2 linked regions of the Diceros bicornis minor genome follow. The protein of the gene in region 1 purifies or fractionates together with the protein of each later gene. This does not show direct contact. Links are inferred from orthologs where the notes say so. Each region holds a gene or a part of one and is shown in the gene's direction. Other genes may lie near its edges.

Region 1 (7,046 bases):
TTCGTATATTTAGATTAAAAGAATTTAAAAAAAATAGAAAAGCTCTTGACTATTGTTTATATGTTTCCCGAATGGCAGTAGTTCTTTAATTTTGTTTGTACTGTACAGATGATTCTGTTTTATTTTTTTAGGAGTGAAAATGAATATAAATAAAGCTGTCATACCCCAGTTTTTCTGTCAATGCCACTTATCGTGGCACTAATAATATATAATATTTCTGAGATCTTTGTCTATGATGATTAGAAGAAAGTAATGGAAACTGATCATGAAACAGATTAAAAATTTTACCAGCAGAGTTCTTGGTGGATTTCACTCAGATGTATAGTCCTGCTTTAATTAGAGCAGCACATTGCTGGAATAAAAAAAAAAAAACAACAAAACCCTAACTTCTTTGAAATTATTAAAAAGAAACCTTTTCCATTCCTTTTACCTGCTTAGACTTTTATGTGACTTGTATTATCTACTGTTGAAAGAGAATCGTGAAAATATTTGCATAGAGTTAAACTTATTTTTAATAATGTTGGTCCTTTTTTATATATATTTGTGTAAATGTAATATTCTTCAAAAAATAATGTAGACAGTCTACTCAGGAGTAATCTTCCTTAACCCTTTACAATTTTTATTTCATATGGAAGTATCTTCACTTTAGTTATTCATTAAATTATCAGTTTCCTACATTTAGTGTTACATATGTAATTTTTAAAAGTTGAGGCCCCCATTGTGACTAATAAAAAATATCACATAATTAGAAGACTAAGAAGGGCTTGTCAAACTATTTTTGTGTATATGTTTCATGTTATTTGACCAGAAATGTCATCCCTAAAATTTTGAGTGGTAATTACTTACCAAACTTAAAATTTTCTATAAATATAAGTTTTTCTTTAAGACAAAAAAAATCATGGCTAGAATTTTGTTTTCTCTGCAACTAGATATTTTAGTGTGAAATAGCATTACTGTTTTTTTATTACTATAGTCTTTTTCAGTTCACATTAGAAACCATTTTGTGTTTTTATTTCTTAAGATGTCAGTTCTGTACTACCTGCTTGCATTTTTTTTAAGTAGACCTCACGCTTTGAGAATTTACCAGTCATTTTTCCGAAATGACCACATTGTACCTTTAATTTGTATGTTAAAGTGGTCAAGCAAGGCTTTAGGAGGTAGTCACTAAGCCAGACCTTCAAGACATCTGCAGAAGCTTCCTCAGCAGTGAGGAGCAGAAAGGACGTTCCAGAAAGAAGAGTGCTTAAGCAGATGTAGGGAAGAGGAAACAACACGTCTTTGCCAGAGGTGCCACACATAGGTGTGATGTACACTGACATTCTATTAAGCTTTTGTAGTGTAGAGAGTAACTGAAGCTTTTCATTTGACAGGAAAGGAATATTTCATCGTGACCTTTAAAAAAACGTAATTGGGTTGTTTACTGTTTTACTTAATAATTGTCACTGATTGTATTTCTACTTGTTAAGCAATTAAAAATCATTTTTAAATTACTTCATAATTTGAACTTAATTTAGACACAAGGGGGAGAGGTAATCAGAGGATATTACAGAAAGTTATATGGATTATTAAATTATCAAAGTAAATGTTTTGAACATTGACAAAGGTGCTTATCTTTTTGTTACTTCATTCATTCATTTATTTATTCATTCACTCACAAAGTATTTACTATTTACCATGTGCCAACGACTGTGTAAGCACTTGAGATATACCAGGCCCGTACTCCTCTATGGAGCATACACGTGGCGGGGGAGTGGGGTGTGTGTGCGTGCGGAGATAGAATGATAGAAAAGAAGCAAGTATATCTGATAGTGATAAGTGTAATGAAGGAAAATAGGGAAGGGAAAGATAAATAGTGCTATTTTTAATACGGTGGTCAGAAAGGATGACCAGGTGAACTTGAGCAAAGACCTAAAGAAGGTGAGGGGTGAGCCATACAAATATGTATGGGGAAGAGAATTCCAGGTAGAGGGTGAAAAGGTCTAGAAGTGAGCTTGATCTGTTCATGGAAAAGCAAGAAGGCTAGTATGCCTGAGCAGGATGAATTAGGAGGTTAACAGGAGAAGTCCTTGAGGACTTTCTGAGGACCTAGGTTGGCTTTTACTCTGAAATGAGGAGTCTGAAGGTTTCTGAGAATAAGTCGTGTGATCTGCCTTATCTAGGAGGATACTGTAGTCACTGTACTGAGAACATACATGAGAGGCAACAGTAGAAGCATTAAGACCAGATAGGAGGGTAGTGAAGTAAGCCAGGTGAGAATTGATGGGGGCTGGGACCGGAGTGGTGGCACTAGAATTGGAGAGAAGAATCTGGATGTAGTCTGAAGGTAGAGCTGACAGGATTTACTTATGGATTGGATCTAGGATATGAGAGACAGAGAGTCCAGGATGATTCCAAAATTACTTGATAGACTTTCAAACCATTGACAAAATGTCTTTGGATTCCGAGTTTGCTTCGTGATATGACAAAATATGTTTGATGAGGTCAAATAATCCCCTACACCAATAGTTTATTAGTATTTAGATTGAGTTCAGAGCTGTTGACAGAGGAAAAATTCACTGAATTCAAACAGCAGATATTTATTTGGGCAATTAGAATTGCAATTTAGGGAGCACAGATCCAGGTAGAAACCCAAATAGTGTCCCGATTACAGGAGAGGCACTTGGGTTTTATAGGGAAAAGGGAGGAAGATGAGGTAAGTTGTATTAAGGAACAATTTATTAGTGCTAGATGAGGTAAGGCTAGGTTTGTACTTCATAATTGGTTAGCCATTTGGTCATCAGCAAAGTCCAATTTCATCAGTCCCTACAAACGCGATATTCTTGTCCTTACTGACTTCTTGGAATGTTGGCAGTTTGGTCCAGTTTGGAAGCTAAAACAAGACTGCAAGGCAATTCCTCTGAAATGGCTGCTCTGGCTCTATTTTAATATGGCTCCACTCATGTCATCTTTCACAGAGGGAATCAGTATCCAGGCTTAAGGGCCTCATCTCTGTTCAAGCATATAAATAACTTGGATCTCAGATTAAAGGTTGTGATTCACCTTAAACCATTATTATGTATCATTTTATGTGCCTTGTACATGCTCATCCTCGCAGTATGAGGCATGTAGTTATAATGAGATGGGAGCAAAGCACAAGTTTTTAAGTAGATAATCTTTGTACTCCCAGCCGTTTTCCACTTCTGCTGACCTTTATGGTGTCTGACCTAGTGGCCTACTGCATCTTTTCATTCTTAACAGATTTAAATAAATTGGGTGTGAAATGGCCTTAATACCAATTATTTCACTCAAATGCCAACAGGAATAATTTCTTAATAGGAAAAGTCAAAAATCCCTTCAGCAGAATAGGTGGAAATAAGGGAAATTCACCTTGCTTCCTACTACATCCAGATAGAGCAAGATGGGGTAGTTTTTCCTTTTTTCCTCTATAAGCTTCAGTGGGGTGGTGTCCAGGTTTCATTCTTCTCATCTCAGGAATGTGACGAACAGGACAGGTCAGGCGAGTTTAGACCGCCTAGGAGCGGTCCTCAAATGCCACCTGTTCCACAAAGGGACCTCTTCTCCCCACATCACAGGACTTGAACGTTTCTGTCTGCTGTGAATTACTGGTGCCGGGAGAAACCGTGGGAAGGCGTCTCTGAGTAACACACCCACCCTAGCGTTGGCACCTTCGCGCGGGGGGAGCTGGTGGCATCAGAGGGCCGCGGCCTCACGGGGCAGGGATGGGGGGTGTTCCGTGGGTCTCCGCATCGGTTTGTTGTGCCAGGGCCGGAGAGAAGGATCCGGCGACACGCTGGGTCCTCCCCTTTGTGCGCCCGTCCCGCCAGGTGGCTCGGAGGCCCCCTGGCTTCGCTCCTCAGGCCCCGGGCCCTGGCGGCCCACCCCGAGCCCCCCTGGCCGGCGAGCTGCCCCGGCCCCGCGGCCGGCGCGCCTGCCCTTGTTTGGCCACGCGGCGGCGGCGGAGTCGGCGCGTCCTCGGGCCGCCCCCCGCGGGCGTCAGAGGGGCGGGCGCCCCGCGCGGTGACGGCGACGCCTGCGGCCGCCGAGCTCGCCACTCGCGCCGCCGGGGAGCCCGGTGACCTCTCGGCCGCCCCGCCTCGGAGGCTCAGATGGCTCAGGCGAAGATCAACGCGAAAGCCAACGAGGGGCGCTTCTGCCGCTCCTCCTCCATGGCCGACCGCTCCAGCCGCCTGCTGGAGAGCCTGGACCAGCTGGAGCTCAGGTGAGCGGCGGCCCGGGCCGCGCCCGGCGTGGGGGTCCCGGCGGCTGGGCGGCTTGACACGTGCTGTCGGTGGAGACGGGGCGCTCTGCGCGGCGCGGCTCGGCTCAGAGCGCGCTCGGTTTAAGCCACACCTGCGCGCGCGTTCCTGTGGCCACGCTCTCGGGCAGGACGTGAGCGTTTGGGGGCCGAGAACAATCAGAAGATGCAAGTTCTGGTGACGTTGGTTCGGATTAGGGACTGTGACACTCCAGGTCTCCAGAACTTCTAGAACCTTCTGTGTGCCGGTATATGGTCTTCCCAGATGTTTTTAACTTACTCTTTTCCTATTAGGCATTTTTAAGAGAGGCAGCAGCTTAGTGGTCCCTGATGTGAATGATCCGTTTCTTTGCTCCAGAACACTTAAGAGCAAAAATTAAAAATCCAGGAATCCATCTGATGGCAAGGATTAGAGAGGAGGAGGGCAAACGAGGGGCTGCGGGGGGACGGCAGCTGGGTGCTTTGTGGAAGGAAGACCCTGCAGCTTCCGTGTCGCCTAACCCCGCATGCGGTGCCCAGCCCTTCCGTTAGCCTCACGGTGGATTGTGCGCCTCCGTCCACAGGAGACTCTGTGCCGCCACCTTCTTGAAAGTGCCAGTCACTGGCCTGAAAGCACAAGATAGTCACAGGTCCCCCCCCCAACTCATTAAGATTTTATTAAGTAATTAATATAGTCGTAGGCTTGTATAGCATTTCTAAATAATGTATGATAAATTTTGGAAACACTGTTCCTTTTACAGGGTGTGGAAACTTTTATGTACTTTCTGTAAACATTTGTCACTAAAGTTGTGTAAATGTGTGCAGGTGTTGTTAAATGAAAATCTTATTAAGGCACCCACAATCCCCTGAAACTGCACAGAATTTTTTTCCATAGTTTTTACCGGCTTCTGGGTGAGCAAAGGAGTGTGTAAACCAACAATTTCAAAAAGCAATGCATATATGCCTTTATCCCCCTCAATTAGTGTACCAGAACAAGAAGAGGTGTCTATTTGCCAGGAAAGAGCATTAATAACCACAGTATATCTCAGCAAATGAGGCATTTATTATTATCATTACCCGGAGGAAAGAGTCAGAAAATGAGAAATTCTCCCTCCACAATGATTTCATGGATGGCAACAGATAGAGAAACCAGAGCCAAAACCACGTTCTGGGGTTCTGCTCAGAATGAGACACATGGAACAGCAGCAGAGAATTGCTTCCCCGTGGTTGAGCCTGCTGCATTCCACCCCCAGAAGAAGCAGGAGCAGAACTAGAGGTCCTGCCCTCAGCTGCTTAACTTCCCTCTGATAATATTTCCCTTTCTGTAGCAGCGTAAGAGGTAACTCACACGTCTCCCCCAGGGCACGTCTCCCCCAGGGCTTTACAACTTTGAGGGCATGTTCTCCACCAATTCAGGAGTCTCTCTCCTCTCAGCAGAAAAAAAGGATTTTTTTCTTAAAGGAATGAGGAGGATGTTGCCCCTCCTTCCTTCAAGCTGAGTCATTGTCCTCAAACTTGGATTAATTTCTCACATGTGGTAGGTACAAAAACAGTCAAGTGCTCACTCATCTTGAAAAGAAAGCCTCTGGTTTTGAGTATTTATTATAGTCTAGTGTTCGACTAATGTAAAATGAATTCTGATTATTGTGTACAAGTGATTAAATTATAATTTGCTTAACTAACCCTTGACCTGAGGAGTATCAACCTACAAAAACAAAACCCAGTTTACGAGGCAAAGCATTTATTTGGGATCGAAGAATTGCAATTCTGGTAGCACGGGTCCAGGTAGAAACCCAAATAGTGTCCTGATTACAGGAGAGGGGCTCAGGGCTTTTATGGGAAAAGGGAGGAGGACAGGTGCGTTGTATTAAGGAAGAGTTCACTGATGCTGGATGAGGGAAGGCTAGGATTGTACTTCAGAGGTTGGCTCGAGATTCGGTCATCAGGCAGAAGGCTAGACTTGTGCTTCGTTGATTGGTTAGTGATTCGGTCATTGGCAAAGTCCAGTTTCATCAGTCCCTACAAACGGGATATTCTGGTCCACACTGACTTCTTGCAATGTTGGCGGTGTGGTCCAGTTTGGAAGACGAAGAAAACAAGACCGGTGCCAGGCAATTTCTCTGAAATGGCTGCTCTGCCTCCATTTTAATATGGCTCCACTCACGTCGTCTTCCACATTAGGAAGGCCTGATCAATATGTGTCTAATTGGTCATTTTAAGGACTTTTCTAGTAATTTTAGACTTTTGTAAGCTTTGTTTCTTCCTTTAAAAAAAGTAATACTGACTGGAAACTAAGGAAGTGTTTCAGAAGGCAAGCAAAAATAGAGAAAAGGCTAATGCTGATCCATTCAAGTCTGTTTGAAACCACGGGGGCAGTGGTCCAGAGCGCTACACTGTTCAAGACTAGAGTCAGGCCTAGAACATCAGTATTTAAAAGAAAACATGATATTTGTCTGTAATTTTGCTCTAATAGTTTAACTTCATGTTACGGACGGCTGATCACGCCGCATACGGGGTAGAGTCAGCCGGTGCAGTTGGCACTTAGAGGCTTGCATTTACTGCTCCCCAGCCACACTAGTTTTGTCAGCTGTGGTGAAAACTTCTTCCATATGAAACTGAAAACAGAATTATGCTAAATGCTTTATGACCTGGCCTGTGAACTGGTGTACCTGATGTTTAAAATGCTTTAAAATGTTTGGCAGCATTCTACAGATCGTTAAAGAAATTCCATTTGTTTCTAAACTTGACGACACTAGCCTTTCTTTTTTGACTCCAACCCATCTCCCTTTTTGCTTCCTCCTAAAAAGGCGAT
Region 2 (7,522 bases), on another chromosome or scaffold:
GTCCCTGCTCCGCATCCCGCAAGCCCTCATAGCACGTGGCCTGATACTGCGTGGCACTTCATGCAATTGTTATGAAGTGATGAGTTGTATTTAATGTTGTCTTGTCTATCCTCCCCACCAGTCAAGCTCCAAGAAGGCATGGACCTTTGCTGTCTTACAGTCTGTGCAGTGCCTGGCACAGGTTAGGCTCTCGGCCATTTGTTATGAAATAAATAAAAAAGTGAAGGAATGGAGGGATGCATGCCAGGCGTTGCACTGGGGGCAGAAAGGGATCAGAAATGAATAAGCATCGTTCTGGTCCTTGAGGAGGCCCCAGGCCAGTGGGGGGGATGATGTGAGTTCAAGAAGGAAGGAAGGAAGGAAGACTGTCCTAAATGCCTTAATGAGGGATAAACATTAACGGGATGAACACTAATGAGAAAAGCACCAAGAGACCCAAAGATGAGTGAGACTCAGTCCCGGAAGAGCTGACATAATGACTTCCCTTTGTATTACCTATTACAATGTACGAAGCACTTAACTTACATAAAATATCCAGGTATGCTCTTATCCCTCAGAGGTGGGGAAACTGCTGCTAAGAAGAGCTCAGGGACTTGCCAGGGCCACCCAGGCAATCACGGCTGCCTGAGTTCGCAGCTCACTTGCTTCGGAATTCAGCCCACACCCTTAGGAAGTGGACTTTGATGCTGTGAAGGTCTTGGTTTAGATCCCACTAGATGTGAAACTTTGGGCAAATTCCTTTACCTCCTTGAACTTTGTTTTCCTAATCTGCAAGATAGGAATAATGACCCCATAACCTATATGAGATGGTATCAGAAAAGTGCCCAGGATGATATTTGGTTTATAGTAAAGAATCCGTAAGTGTTTCTTGATGGCTGAATGAACTATATTTATTGGTGAGTGGCCTGAAATGCGAGGGGACCTAAAATCATGCCATTTGGAGGATGGTAGGAGAAATTGAGGGCAATTTTTTCCCTTCCCACTCTCACTTTCTATGATTTCTGTGAGACTTAGCCCTGGCCTCAACCACGTTGTTATAATTTATTGTTTGCAAATCAACAAAAGTGAACCTACCCTAGCTCGGTTAGCTTTCTTTTTATGTATATCTTTATTGCCTTTTTTCTGATGACCAAGTAATATATCCTCCTTCTAAAGATATTAAATTGCAGAAAGATGTAATGAAGAAAAATGAAAGTGTGAGTTGAGGCACAGGAGGCACAGATGCTGACATAGTTGTTCTTTGAGAGGTGGGGGAGGGGCACAGGACAGGGAGCAAAAAAGAATTCTTCCTGCTTAAAAATCTCTTACTGGCCTTGCCATGGTTCCTGGGAGTTCTGTTAGGAATCTTGCCTTTGACTATAGCATTGAAAGTTCAAGTTAAAGGCTGGGGAGTGGGGAGAAGGGGAGAATTGTCCGCGCTGAGGCTTTCTCTGGAACGCCATGAAGAATGAGATGGGACCCGTGGAACTTTCTATGGCTGTATACGCAGTTGGTTCAGATGCCCACTGCTGGTGTGTCTTGTAGCTGTGTTTTCATCCCCTTTCTTCCTTCTGAGCGTTTAGTAGAGTCTTTTTTGAAAATTTTTGCTACACATACACACACACACACACACACACACACACACACACAGAGAAAAGCAAAGCAAAAAGAAAGAAAAAAAGGTGAAAGCCTTCTATTTAGTTCTCTATAGTCTCCATATTTTTTATGCATACACTAAGCATATATTATAAGTTATAACTATGGGATCTTATTACACCTGTAATTCTGCAACTTACACTTACCCGTTTCATCTCACAATCCCCAGTAGACACCTTTTCTTGCCTGTTCATGAAAATCTGCCCCTTTCTTTTTACCAGCTGAGATTCTTGAGCTCAGGACTATCATCCCTGCTTCTGGCCCAGAGGCCAGCACACAAGAGGCCTTACTGAGAGGACATGTTGAGATAGTAACAGCAGCCACCATATCCTGGCATGAACTGGGTGCCAGGCTCTGAACTGAGCTCTTTCACATGTTATTTCGTTTTTTTTTTTTTTTTTAAGATTTTATTTATTTATTTTTTCCCCCCAAAGCCCCAGTAGATAGTTATATGTCATAGCTGCACATCCTTCTAGTTGCTGTATGTGGGACTCGGCCTCAGGATGGACGGAGAAGTGGTGCCTCGGCGCGTGCCCGGGATCTGAACCCGGGCTACCAGCATCGGAGCGCGCGCACTTAACCACCAAGCCACGGGGCCGGCCCTCACATGTTATTTCATTTAATCCTCACAGCCACTGTAGGAGATAGGTTCTATTATTATTCCCGTTTTTCAGATGAGAAACTGAGGTGCAGAGACTTGAAAGCCCGAGGTCACACAGCTGGTAAGTGGTGGAGCTGAAATTTGAATCCTGATCTGTCCTGTGCCAAAGCTTTTGCTATGAATGAATGAATAAATGGTTGATGGGGTCCTGGGTCCTGGGGAGAAAGTTCTGTCTTCAGAACTTCCAGTGTCTGTCCTGGGTTCTCTCTTCCAAGGTTTGCAATGCTTGGAATCAGCATCAGCACATAGGAGGGACTCCAAGAAGGTCCCCTTTTTTTTCCTGCAGCAATCCTGTGGCCTTGCCTACTTTTCCTGGGAAGTGGCATTTTTGAATCTCCTACTCTAAAAATAAGCCACAATTTGGTAGGGGCCCCAGAGGACCAGCCCAGGCATTTCAGGACAGCCATTTGTCTGTCCGCAGCACAGGAAATTAATCAGAACCCCAAAGCCCTTTCCCTCTTCCCACAGGCTAGCACTCTGGAAACGCCCATGCTGCAGCTCTCCTAGAGGACTGCAGAGATGCCAAGGGCAATTTAAAACAGATCTGTCTCTCTGTAAGGAAAGCGAGAGGCAAAAGGCAGGAGGGAGAAACGGGTCAGCCCTGCTGCAAAGAGAACTCACAGCCGTCCCCAACTTGGAGGGGTGCCGAGTGACAGAGACACCCTGGGGCATCAGATGTGACTTTGCAGAATCCACCTGGGGTCTTGATACTGGAGTGTTGGTTCCTGTGCCAGTGGCAGTGCTCTGCAGGGCCACTGTCAGCGAGCCGTTTCCTCTCTCAGGACCTCAGAGTCTTCCACTATGAAATGATTGGGTGGATTATCACTAGGGGTGCTGGGTGGTGTTAGGAGCTAGAAATAATATTGATGATAATAATAATGATGAAAATCAGAATGACAACTACGTTGTTTGTGGAACACTGCCTGGTGCTTGTACACAGTGTTTTTTTGTAATATGAAAACAAACACTACAAGGACTATGTTAATATTCCCATTTTACAGATGAGGAGAAGGAGGCTCAGTTTGGGCCAGAACATGGGCCAGAACATGGGCATATGATTCCAGTGTTTTCTGGCATCGGAACCTGAGCTCCACAAACACTTGTGGGTTCTGACCTCAAGGAAATGAGGAAGTGCTAAGAAACAAACGAGAGGACAATTTGATACATCAAAATGTGTTCACGCCACATGAGAGTTAAACACAATGCCAGGGGTATTCAGAGCAGAGAGTCAGCTTCTGGCTGGGGGAAACTAGGAGGAGATGTAAGTTGAGATGAGACAGCAAGGGAAGAGCATGAGCAAAGGGGCAGACGTGGGAAAGCAGTGGGTGTGCTGGGGGAAGTTTGGATAAACTTTACTGTGTGTGTGTGTGTGGGTGTGTGTGGGTGTGTGTGTGTCTGTAAAGGTAGGAAGAGATTGGACCAGGCCCGGGCTTTGGCCTTTATTCCACAGGCAATGAGGAGCTTACACAAGAGATGTCTCAAGAGACGAGCTATGCTGCTGCAGTCAGAGAGGAAGCAGCCCTCAGCGCATCTGTGTCCTGGCTTGTGAATGCAGCTCTGTGCCAGAATGTGGGAGGGCATTTGCGGGGAGAGAGTGTCTCTGGCTGTGTCCTGTACCATGCTGGGTGTGGGTCTTGGGCTCCCTTCAAAGGCCTCCTCCCACTTCTCTGGGCCCTAGGTACTTTGTACATGGTAGGCCCACAGGAAGTATGTCATAGAATTATTGGAGAGACTTTTGAGGTCATCTAGTCTATTTAAAGAAGGTGAAAATGAGGAACGTAGATGGGAAAGGACTTGTCTAGGATCACACAATGAATTAACAGCAGAGCTGGAGACTGCAACCCATGCCTCCTGAGACCACGCCGAGTTCCTTTTCCGCATTTGCTGAGTAATAGAAATAGTATTTGTTGAGTGATTACTCCATACCAGGCCCTGGGCTAAACACCTTTACACGGATTATCTCATTTAATTCTCACGACCCCCCCCCCCCCCCCCGAGAGTGCCACTCGTGAAAGCAGGACGTCTTGTCGTCCATTGCGATTTCCCACCATGCCTAGTACAGGCCCTGGGCACCTAGCTGGGAAACTCCGCCGAGTCCAAGTCCTGGGAAGAGGGAACAGGACCGAGGGGCGGGGCCGCGGCCAGCCCCGCCCCGCCCGCAGGCCCCGCCCCCAGGCCGCTGACGTCACCAGCTGGCCCGCCCCTCATTGTCAGTCCGGGGGAGCCGGAGGAGGCGCCGGCCGCCGGGAGCGGAGCGCCGGAGCCCTCGCGGGTGGGAGCGCGGTCGGAGCCGCCGAGGTGAGGGGTCCGCGGGCAGGCGGCGGGAGCGCGGCGCGGGCCGGCGGGAGGAGAGGAGAGGAGGGCGGCCGGAGGGGGCGGCCCGCCCCGCCGAGGGGTCGGGGCACCGGGGGCGCCGGGGCAGAGCCGGCGGGCGCACCCGGGGAGGGCTGGGGGGTGTGGAGTTGAGGTGGGGGGAGAGTTTGAGCGGGGTGTTGGGGGCAGAGCTCGGAAGGGGAGATGTGGGGGCGCGAGACCTTGAGAGATGTTTTGGAGTTGGAGATTTTTCTTCTGGAGGGGGAGGGAAGGTTCGGAGAGACTTCTTGGTGGGAGCGAGAATCTGGGGAGAAGTGTTGGGGCAGGGAGCCGAGGGCCGTTTTCGGGGGGGCGGCGGAGAGTCCAGGGCCTGGGGGCCCGGGGGAGGGCGCGGGGCGCGGGCCCGGTGGGGGCGGGGAGAGGCGCGGCGGGCGGGGGGCCGGGGCGCCGGGGAGGGGGCTGCGCGGGGCCCGCGGGCACCCGGGGAGGAAGGAAGTGATCTTACAGGAAGAGCCCGGAGCTCCCGAGGAGGAGGAGGAGGAGGAGGAGGAGGAGGGAGGCTGGGAGCGCCCGGCCGGCGTGCGGGACGGGCTGCGGCCGGGGCTGCGGGCGCGGGCGGCCGGGGAGGGGTCCCGCCGCCGCAGCTGTCGGCCCGCGCGCCGGCCCGCGTCCCGGCCGCTGCTGGTCTCGCCGCCAGACCGCCGGGCCGGGAAGGAATTCGAGGCATTCGCTTTGTTTAAGTTGCCAGTAGACAGTCCTCAGGACTAATTAATGGTGGAATCTGCAGGGGGACGCGGGCGAGCCGGGCCGGGGGCCGCCCCCCGCCGGCGCGGCGAACTTTCCGCAGCGCGCGCCGCCCGCCTCCCCGCGCGCCCCCACCCCTGCCGGCCGGGAAGGAGCCATGGCTTCCCGAAGCGCAGGAATGAAGTGCGGTTTCTGGGGCCGGTGGCCTCTGGCTGCCGGGGCTGCCTGCAGGGCGCCCGGCGTCCCGGGGCGGCCGGGCTGGGGGTTCGGAGCCCGGTGGAGAGCCCTCTGAGGTGCCTGCGGTTTCTGGGAATAACCTTGGCGGAGGCTCTGCGAGCCGAGAGAGGCCAGCTCGCTTTGGAGCATCTGTTTCTTCATCGCGTCAGCCCCTTTGCTAACACTGCAGAGCTTGTTGCGGCTTGTTTCGGAAATGCCGAGACCAGTGCTCACCCTCGAGGGTGGGAGAGGGGAAGAGACTGGGCACCCCCAAACCCCTGCAGTGTGATCGCCAGAAAGCCAGAGACGGCTTGCAGATTCTCCGTCGCGCCTTCACTGGCTTGAATGACCTTGGGGAAAGAATTGTGCTTCTGAGCTCCTGGTGCCTTATCTGTCGATGGAGGAGAAAATGCTCTCTGGACCTCCCTGCCTTTTGGGGATGTTTTGAGAGGTGGGGTTTGTTCAGGGCCTTTTACAGACTGCTGCGGTTCTGGCCTAAGGAGCTAGACTGGTGTCAGAGCCTGGGAATTCAGATCATCCAGGAAGATTTTACGACCTCAGATTAGAGAGGAAGGGGTTTGGATTTTAGGAGACGATTTCCCCTTGGAGAATCCGTACAGTATGTTCCAGATTGCTTTCTGTCACTTTGTGGCATTGGTAACATTCGTGTGGTTAAACTGAATAACCCCCATAGAAAATTCTTCTCGTCAGAAATAATTATTTTGCTCAGAATTCCCCTTGGGGCAGATTAAGGTTTTGCTCAATTTACTCAGAAGAATTTTCCAGGTTTCTAAAATTAAATCACTTTTCTAAACATAGCAACTGAAGTTTGAAAAACTGGAAATGGGGGGATGGGAACGGAATTGATTAGAGTATGAACAAGGCAGCAGATACGGTTTCATTGTTGTCCTGTGATTACTAATAGGGATTATGAATTAGCCTTGATTAATAGGTATTTTCTTACTCTTAAATAATCTAAGACCAAGAAAGGGAACTAATATTGTTGAGTTGCCTACTCCGTGCCCAGGAATTGTGCTAAGTGGTATATATCTCGTATAGTCTTCACAAGAATGCTGTGAGGTGGTAGTTGGCATCCGTGTTTCACAGATGAGCAAACTGAGGGTCAGAAGGCAAAGTGACTTTCCCACGTTTAGTCACATGGCTCTCGTAAGAAGTGGAGCTGGAATTCAAACCCAAGTCTGTTTCTAAAGTCCGCGGTTATCTCGGCTAGGCACACTGCATTGGGAATCAGGAGGCCTAGTTTCTAAGCCTTGACTCAGCCACTGGGTCACTGTGGATCGTAGAATAAGTCCATTAAGTCTATTCCCCAGTAATGTTGCCTCCTTTTCTTCCAGCAATGTTGTCAGTATGCTTTTGAGATGTTCTCGGTTTTTGGAAGAAAGACAAACATATGAGGCTGAGGTAGTGATATGTCCTATATGGAGGTGCTTAATAATTTTTTTCTTATGATGGAAATGTTTGTGTTCAAATATAGCGTACCTGGGTGATCAGAGATTTCATTTATGTAATGGAGGATGATGGATAGCTAATGGTACTTCCACTGTAGAGGCCATCATTAAGGTGACATTCATGATCAGAAACTGAACCATTTTTCATGTAATATGGCTTTTGGAACAGTGTCAACTTAAGGATAAAGCACATTACATACGGGTAGGACTCAGATTGTCAGGGTTAAAAATTTGGTGTAAACACTGATGCACATAATAGATGCTCAGTAAATACTTGCTGAATGACTGGATACATGCATTCTTTTTTAAAAATCAGCTTTATTGAGGTATAATTTACATACAATAAAATTCACCAATTTTAAGTGTGCAGTTTGGTGAGCTTTGACAAATATATACAGTTGTGTAATCACCATGGCCACCTTCGTTTGTTTAAACTGCGTCTTATCTTTGAGGTATTGGTTAGTGGAATGATTCCTGGGAATGT

Evidence for each region. Proteins that work in one complex are often made in the same cells at the same time.
Region 2: the proteins of BAG2 (region 1) and LUZP1 purify together in Homo sapiens (affinity purification with mass spectrometry; 3 studies listed by BioGRID and IntAct, with this or other methods). This does not show direct contact. The link is inferred for Diceros bicornis minor from reciprocal best matches to the Homo sapiens genes BAG2 and LUZP1.

Annotation. Positions count from the first base shown.
Region 1 is NC_080753.1:10,219,853-10,226,898, reverse strand, and holds the start of BAG2 (BAG family molecular chaperone regulator 2), read left to right. Parts: upstream 1-4,036; 5' UTR 4,037-4,106; coding exon 4,107-4,219; intron 4,220-7,046. UniProt on the Homo sapiens protein: Co-chaperone for HSP70 and HSC70 chaperone proteins. Acts as a nucleotide-exchange factor (NEF) promoting the release of ADP from the HSP70 and HSC70 proteins thereby triggering client/substrate protein release.
Region 2 is NC_080752.1:39,714,499-39,722,020, reverse strand, and holds the start of LUZP1 (leucine zipper protein 1), read left to right. Parts: upstream 1-4,521; 5' UTR 4,522-4,594; intron 4,595-7,522.